2 linked regions of the Canis lupus familiaris genome follow. The protein of the gene in region 1 interacts with the protein of each later gene in a pairwise test. Links are inferred from orthologs where the notes say so. Each region holds a gene or a part of one and is shown in the gene's direction. Other genes may lie near its edges. The genes, in order: KIF9 and PRMT6.

Region 1 (3,805 bases):
GCTGTGCTGGTCCTTCAGAACCTTTGCCTAAACTTTTGCCACTGCTGGGAATACCTTCTTATTTCCCCCATCCCTAAACCTGGCAGAACCCTTCACGGCCCTTACGACCAGGTGGTGGGCCTCACCCATGCCGCCTTCTCTTCTCCTGTAGCCTCCCTGACAGAGGAGCAGGCTGTGTCTTTTCATCCTTGTATCTCCAGGTTTTCATGTTGGGACTGATGGCACAGTCTTGGGTGTCTGCTTATTAATTGAGTGCTGCCAGTAGCAAAGCCCTGGCCCACAGCCCTCTCCCTGCCCCTCCCTGCTCCAAGTTCTTGCCCTCGCTTCTCTTTTAGGTATGTCCAGTGGCTTTTCCCCTTCCCTTCCCTTCTCCAGCCTTATACATGCTGGGGTGTGTCTCCTCTGACCCTATCTGAGTCAGCTCAAGTGGCCAGAACAAAACACCATTGATGGGGGGGCTCGAACAAGAGACATTTATCTCTCATAGCCCTGGAGGCTGGAGACCCCAGATTGGAGTTCAGCATGGATGGTTCCTGGTGAAGATTCTGGCTCATAGATGGCTGCTTTCCTGCGGTGCTTTCACACAGCAGAGAGAAAGAAAGAAAGAGAGAGGGACCAGAAAGAGAGTTCTGGTCTCTCTCTCTCTCTCTTTTTTAGGGCCACTAATCCCATTATGGGGGCTTCACCCTCTCCGGACCTCATCTAAACATGATTACCTCCCCCAAGCCTCATCTCCAGATGCCATCACTTAGGAGGGTAGAACTTCAACGTAAGAAGTTTGACAGGACACAAACACTCAATCCATAACAGACCTCCACCAGCCTCGAAGGAATCTCTTGGCAGAAAACCCACATGGTTTATGGCCTTTCCGTGTCCTGCTTTCCACAGGAGGAAATTGCAATATGGTCCTCTTGACGAACATCTATGGAGAAGCCTCCCAATTAGAAGAGACGGTACGTCAAGACTGCCCATGCAACCTAGTTGGAATCCCTTCTCATATGTTCCAGGGCTGGGTAAGGCTGGCTCCAGGCTGGCTAAGCCGGCATATCAGCCATAGACATTGTCAGGAGGAAAAGGATCCAGGGGATGAATCAGCCAAACTTGCTGCTGGAGGCCTGGGCAGAATCCAAATACCAAGTACTAAGGGGCAGAGGCTGTGTTGAGGAAAAGACAAGGCAGGAAGCAGGCACAGTGTGGGGGCCTGTGTGAGGAGTTACACAGAGGGCAAGGGCCAGGCTTCCTGGGGTGCTGTTCCTGTGAATTGGGACCAAGGATAGCTGATTTCTTGTCCTTCATAATTATACAATTAAAAATCTTAGAAGCACCAGAGTTCCAGGCTGTGGTTATAAGGCCAGTAGGAGCTGACAGGTGCTAAGCATGTGCTGTGTATAGGGTGGTGAGGGGTGGTGGGAAGAGCAGCTCAGTAGAGGTGAGTTATCTGTGGCCCTAGGCTTCAGGGTTCCTTGCCATGGCCCTAAGGAACGTGAGCGGCCCAGATGAAGGAGTCCTTCAGAGGAAGAGGGACTCTTCCTCAAACTGGGGTGAGGAGGGTGGGCCCTGAACCGTCTGGGGTTAAAGGCAGTACAGAAAGCAAAGATGCTCCTGGCAGAGGGGACTGTGGGCCTGAAGGTGTGAGCCATGCCAGGAATCTCTGGCCACCACAGGGGAGGCCACGGGAAAAAAGGGGAGAGAAAAACTGTGGAGGCTGCGTGGGCCCCGGTGGCCAGGCTGACGCCTTGGCTCTGGTTGGCTCTGGCTGGTTGCTGGGGTGTCCTGGGGTTTGGATAGGGGAGGGCTATGGCCAGAGTTATGACTCAGGGCGATTAACCAAGCTGCAGGACCCAGGTGACCTGGGAGGGTACAAGCTTATGAGAATCAGAGGTAGTCAGATTGGCGCTAATGGCCAAGGCAGTGACACACATGAGCTCACACAGCTGGGCACCCTGGCAGTGGTTCCCTTCTTCCTCAGAAGGGCCACACATCATATATAAAGCAGATTTGGAAAGCTCTCCATAGATATTTTGTTTTGTCAAGTGCAGATGTTCAGGGCAAGCTGCAGTCATCAGGAGAATCCACTTCGGTGAAATAGGTCCTTTCCAGGCACACTGCAAGGCAAGATGTTCCTGCAGGGCCTCCCAGTTTCTTGCATTAGGGACCATCCCTGTGTCCAGAGAGTGTGTCCTGGGACTTGGAAGGCCAAGGAGGGAGCTCCTGCTGACGCACAGGCAACATCCCCAGAGGGAGGCTCCAGGAACCTCCCAGTCTCATAGCATAACAAAGCACATGTGAACCCCAAGAGGAACCATATGAAAATTGGGCCTCCGACTGCCTTGTTGAAAAATGTCCTCCAAGACAGTGGAAGGCCCCCCTCTCTCTCTCTCCTTGTCCCCACCTCTGAGGTCGTCACCACACAGGAAGCAGGTCTCCTGGTACCTGCCTTCCTGGGGGGTTTGTGACCCAGGAAGGAGCCCGCAGAGCCCAGAGTTGCCGCAGGGGTTTGAGACAAAGGCATAATGGAGTGTGGAAGCTAATGCTTCTCTTTTTCAAATGCTTTAAACCGTTAACACTGTTCCTGTGAAAGGATCATATTGCTTTACTCCTTGACAGTGCATGTATATGTGGGAGTAAACACAGTGAGGGAGTCCTGGCCACACTTCTGGTGAGTGTGGAGCAAGACAGCTTGATTCCAGTCTCATACAGAAGCAGCTGTCTCCTCCTGAGGGCTTGCTGTGAGCCATTTCTGTATAGAACATGTCACAGACTGGGGCGCCCGGGTGGCTCAGTCGGCTAATCGTCTGCCTTCTGCTCATATCATGATGCCAGGGACCTGGGATTGAGCCCTATATTGTGCTCCCTGCTCAGCGGGGTACCTACCTCCCCCTCTCCTGCAACCCCTGCTTGTGCTCTCTTTCTCTCTCTGTCAAATAAATACAATCTTTAAGGAAAAAAAAAAAAAAAAAACATGTCACAGACCTCTTCATTAGCCTCCCAGGCTCTGGGAGGCAGGTTTCCCCAATCTTACAGAGGAGTTAGAAGAAGTTGGTCAACAGCAGAGTTCTTAACCACTAAACCAGACTGCTTGAAGGAAGAGTCCTTTCAGGGCCCCAAGCCAGCCCAGTATGATGTGAGGCTGGGATCTCAGGGCCCCCTTGTGCTACCACTGGCTGTTCCCCGCTGCCAGGGAGCAGCCCTCCACCTCTCATGTAACAACAGTGCAGAGGGGCACAGCATTGGGGCTGTTTCTCAAGTGCCTACTCATGTGACTGCCTCATGGGCTTCTAGCCATAATTACCCCTGCCTGGCTGCCCCTCCAGAGGGACTTGGGAGGAACCCCCAAGAAGGAGACCCCATACTTCACTTTGGAATATGTCTACATGCAGAGATTTATCTTTCCCGGTAGACTCCTTTGACCTGCTTTGCAAATGTCTCTATTCACAGCAATTGGCCAAAGACATAGAGGTCTGTGATCTGTTTTTCAGCTGTCTTCACTGCGGTTCGCCAGCAGGATGAAGCTGGTCACCACTGAGCCTGCCATCAATGAGAAGTATGATGCTGAGGTACTTAGGGGCTTGTGGGCAAGAGTCTCACTGTAGAGAAAGTGTGTGGGTTTGCTGCCGAGGAGACAAGACTGGCTTCCCTTGCCACCTCAACTAAAGATACGCATGCAATCCTCTGTCAGTGGTTTTAGTCCTGGACAGGCCAGAGTCTCCAGGGTCCCTGAAGACCCCCTAGGGGGCCACCCAGGTGAGAGGGCTAGGTCAGGTTACCACCCAGTTCATGTGTGAGGCTTCAGGGCTTCTGATTA
Region 2 (4,361 bases), on another chromosome or scaffold:
TAGAGGTGACGTATTAAAGCGATCGCATTTACTTAGGACTCTAATCTCACAGCCTGCTCTGCACCTGTTTCCTTAAAACAAGGAATCAAACTGGGCAGAAAGACAAACTGTTTTGAAGACTTTTAGCCTTAAATGGTTGAGCCCAGGCCACTGGGGGGGGGGGAAAAAAAAAAGATAATTTACCCGATGAAAATAATGAAGCAAGATTTAACTAAGATCATTTTAGGGAGACACAGTGGTTCTTACTCTGGCCGCACATTCAGATTCCCCAGGGAGCTTTTAAAACTTCATGCGCGGGGCTCCCGTGAAGTGGTTCTGACTTAATTAGTTTGAGGTGAGACAGAGGCACAGGTATTTTGTGAAAGCTACAGCTGACTGTACTGAGGAGCAAGAGAGCCCTCCAAGTACAGCTGAGGATGTCGGGTCAATAAACCTATTCCATTAAACGAGAGATTAACAGAGGGAAGAAAGGGGTGAAGGGACTTTAGTCCCCAAATACGGAATACAGGCCCGTCGGTTCAATGGACATAATCCGAGGCTACCAGAAAATAAAGTCAACTTTCTTCAATGTCTTTTTTTTTTTTTTTTTTTTTTTTTTTTTTGCTGGGAGAGAAGTTTATTCGCACAGTGCTGGGAACACAGACGCTCCCACGGACACCGCACATACTTCAAAGTGTATTTTATTTGTATCGTGAACAACAGGGAGGGAAGAAATGAACCCCTGACAGTTGACTGAAAGGGAAACGGAAGAGGAAAAATACCTCGTCCACGCCAACGACCACGCGGGGAAGCAACCGCGAGGCAGGCGGGCAGCCCGGGGGCTCCGGGGGCTCCGGGGGCTCCGGGGGCTCCGCGGCCCAGCGCCGCCTTCGGCCGCTCCCTCCGCCGCGTGTCTCACCAACGGATAAATAGGGTCTTTAAAAGAGAAAACCCGAACAAGGGAGGGAGGACGGAGCCGTGGAGCTCCAGCGGCGCCCGCCCCGTCACCTCGCGTCCCCGTCACCTCGCGTCCCCGCGCTGCGGCCTGGGGAGCGGCGGCGTCGCCCGGCGGGGCGCGACCCGACTGCAGGGGCTCCCGCCGCCAGGGGCTGGCAGCGCGGCCCTTCCGTGGCCCGGGGTCTCCTCGCGGCCCAGGGCCGGTTCCCACCCGCAGGGCTTTCTTCGTGGCGCTCACACCGTGCGCACCGCCCCTCACCTCGGGGCGCGGCGGGCTTCAGAGCGGGCGGAGGCAGAGGGCAACGGAGGGGCTGAGGGAGAGAGGCTCGCGGAACTCGGGCGCGCGGCGCCGACCCACCCCCCCGGCTCCGCGGGGCGGCGGGGGCGGCAGGGCTGCCAGCGCGGGGCCGCGCTCCGGGCTTCTCCCCCGGATAGTGGGCGGTGCCAGCCGGCACTACAAGTCCCAGAAGCCCCCGCTGCCCGGAGCCCGCGCGGAGCCGCGCAAGGCCCGCCGGGAGTCGGCCGGGGCCGCCAAGATGTCGCAGCCCAAGAAAAGAAAGCTTGAGTCGGGGGGCGGCGGCGGCGGAGGAGGGGAGGGAAGTGAGGAGGAAGATGGCGGAGCGCCGGAGGCGGCCCCGCCGCGACCCCGGAGGGCGCGGCGGGAGCGGGACCAGCTGTACTACGAGTGCTACGCGGACATCTCGGTGCACGAGGAGATGATCGCGGACCGCGTCCGCACCGACGCCTACCGCCTGGGCATCCTGCGGAACTGGGCCGGGCTGCGGGGCAAGACGGTGCTGGACGTGGGCGCGGGCACCGGCATCCTCAGCCTCTTCTGCGTGCAGGCGGGCGCCCGGCGCGTGTACGCCGTGGAGGCCAGCGCCATCTGGCAGCAGGCCCGCGACGTGGTGCGGCTCAACGGGCTGGAGGACCGCGTGCACGTGCTGCCGGGGCCGGTGGAGACGGTGGAGCTGCCCGAGCAGGTGGACGCCATCGTGAGCGAGTGGATGGGCTACGGGCTGCTGCACGAGTCCATGCTGCGCTCCGTGCTGCACGCGCGGGCCCGCTGGCTCAAGGAGGGCGGCCTGCTGCTGCCGGCGTCCGCCGAGCTCTTCGTGGCGCCCGTCAGCGACCAGATGCTGGAGCTGCGCCTGGGCTTCTGGAGCCAGGTGAAGCAGCTCTACGGCGTGGACATGAGCTGCCTGGAGAGCTTCGCCACGCGCTGCCTCATGGGCCACTCGGAGATCGTGGTGCAGGGCCTGTCCGGGGAGGACGTGCTGGCGCGGCCGCACTGCTTCGCGCGGCTGGAGCTGGCCCGCAGCGGCCTGGAGCAGGAGCTGGAGGCCGGCGTGGGCGGCCGCTTCCGCTTCAGCTGCTACGGCTCGGCGCCCATGCACGGCTTCGCCGTCTGGTTCCAGGTGACCTTCCCCGGCGGGGACGCGGAGAAGCCCCTGGTGCTGTCCACCTCGCCCTTCCACCCGGTCACGCACTGGAAGCAAGCGCTGCTCTACCTGAACGAGCCGGTGCCGGTGGAGCAGGACACGGACATTTCCGGAGAGATCACGCTGCTGCCCTCCCGGGACAACCACCGCCTCCTGCGCGTGCTGCTGCGCTACAAAGTGGGCGACCAGGAGGAAAAGACCAAAGACTTTGCCATGGAGGACTGAGCGCGGCCTCCTCCTCCGCCGCCCCCACCCCCAGCCCCAGGCGGCCGGCCTGCGGGGCGGGGTGCAGGGGGCCGGAGCCGCGGCGGAGCCCGGCGCGCAGGTGGGCGCAGCGCCTCCCCGCGCCCTCCCCGCGCCCGGTTCCCGGGAGGCAGGCGGACTGGAGTCTCCTCCTCCCAGGAGGTTCTCCCGGCGATATTTATTTAAAAAGTGAACCCCGAGGCCCCCAACGATGGAAACAGCTTGTTTATTACTGGGCCTCAAAAAGCATGTGGTACCAAGCACTTGTATTTCTGTTTCTTTTGTTTCGCGGGAAGGAAGCCAAACACAGAGGAAGGCTCCGTGCACATCCCTGATGTCTCCCACCCAAACCTGAAGCCAGGGAGAAGGCTAACGGGGTTTACCTAGACTCCATAAATTTCCACTATGACTTAAATATTATCTCTCCAGAGCCATATTCTTTCGTTCTCGAAATTCCCTCCTTTCCTAGGTGCCTCTAGGCTTCAGTGCTTCTTCCTCCTTGTTTTTTTAAATAAACTTTTGCTTCTGGTAATGAGAGGGAGGAGAGTGAGGAAGCAGTTTGAATTATCCTGTTCTTACACTTAACTACTTCCATAGGGTGCTAAAGTCGAACACATTTCTCCTTTTTGAGTAAAATAGGCCATATATAATTGTGCAGCATACCCCCCCCCCCCCCCAACATCAACAAGGTACATTTAGGAGAGAAACATCTGAAAGTGAAGTAGTACGGGTTTTTTTTTATTCTTGATTTTACTATTAAGATTTAACCAAGGCAATGTTTCGTGTATGTTACATAATAAAGTTTTGTGTGACTTTTATTAAACCAGTTGGCAGAAGGCTTTCTGAACCTGACCCAAGGGGTTTGTTCATCATATTGGGTAAATTCTTTAGGCTCTTTAAATTAAGGAAAATCTTTTCCCAGCTAGAGAAATGCACTCACTTAAACTCTCACTTGGGGAGATCATGTGATCTGGCCTACTTACATCAATTGAAATTTCCTTTTTTTAGTGTTGTTGAGTTCTTTTTTTTTTTTCTTTTTAGCTCAGCCAAATGTGAAAGTTGTGAATTTCGGAAAATCATTTGTGATGAAGTGTGAGTCATGTTATCAAATTTATTTCACGGATGTTTCCCTCCTTATCCCTGTGGCAAATAAAACATTGGCATTCTATTTTTATAGATGAAGTAAGAAGTCTTGTGTACTGCGACTTAATAATGCTTTTGCCTACTTAATATCGTCAGTTCTTAAGTGTTACAACCCTTTCGGAATATAGCTTCAGGATAGTTTATGCTTAATGTATGTTTTTTCTTCATACTGGTGGCTTTTGTATGCTGATAGAAAACAGGTGTGAGAAGTGGTCTTTGAAGTAATTCAGTATAGTTTTGTTTATTGTAAATGAGTTTTCTCCTTTATTCATCACATATTAAAGTACTGAAGTATTATAACCAATTTGCTAAAATGTGGTGTTAACACATGAGATCTTCCATTAGGAGAGGAAACATACAAAATCAATGACTTGCCAAGATCCAAGCAATGACAGTGATAGTTGTCACCGTTTTGATAGTTAACAGTCTGTGTAAATGGTGCAGTCATAGTAAAGTAGGCCTGATTTAAGCTGGAGGTATAAAATAAGTCCTTTTTATTTTTTAGGGTCAACTATATAAGATGAACGTTTATTTACAATACTAATGTATGATTTTGGGTAGATTTCTGATGCTTTTTTTGACTTCCTGTAACAATCC

What was found.
Region 2: the proteins of KIF9 (region 1) and PRMT6 interact in a two-hybrid assay, tested with the Homo sapiens proteins (2 studies listed by BioGRID and IntAct). The link is inferred for Canis lupus familiaris from reciprocal best matches to the Homo sapiens genes KIF9 and PRMT6.

What each region holds. Positions count from the first base shown.
Region 1 is NC_049241.1:42,013,733-42,017,537, forward strand, and holds part of KIF9 (kinesin-like protein KIF9), read left to right. Parts: intron 1-888; coding exon 889-953; intron 954-3,479; coding exon 3,480-3,557; intron 3,558-3,805. UniProt on the Homo sapiens protein: Essential for normal male fertility and for progressive motility of spermatozoa.
Region 2 is NC_049227.1:44,890,188-44,894,548, reverse strand, and holds PRMT6 (protein arginine N-methyltransferase 6), read left to right. Parts: upstream 1-1,432; 5' UTR 1,433-1,472; coding exon 1,473-2,603; 3' UTR 2,604-4,064; downstream 4,065-4,361. UniProt on the Homo sapiens protein: Arginine methyltransferase that can catalyze the formation of both omega-N monomethylarginine (MMA) and asymmetrical dimethylarginine (aDMA), with a strong preference for the formation of aDMA.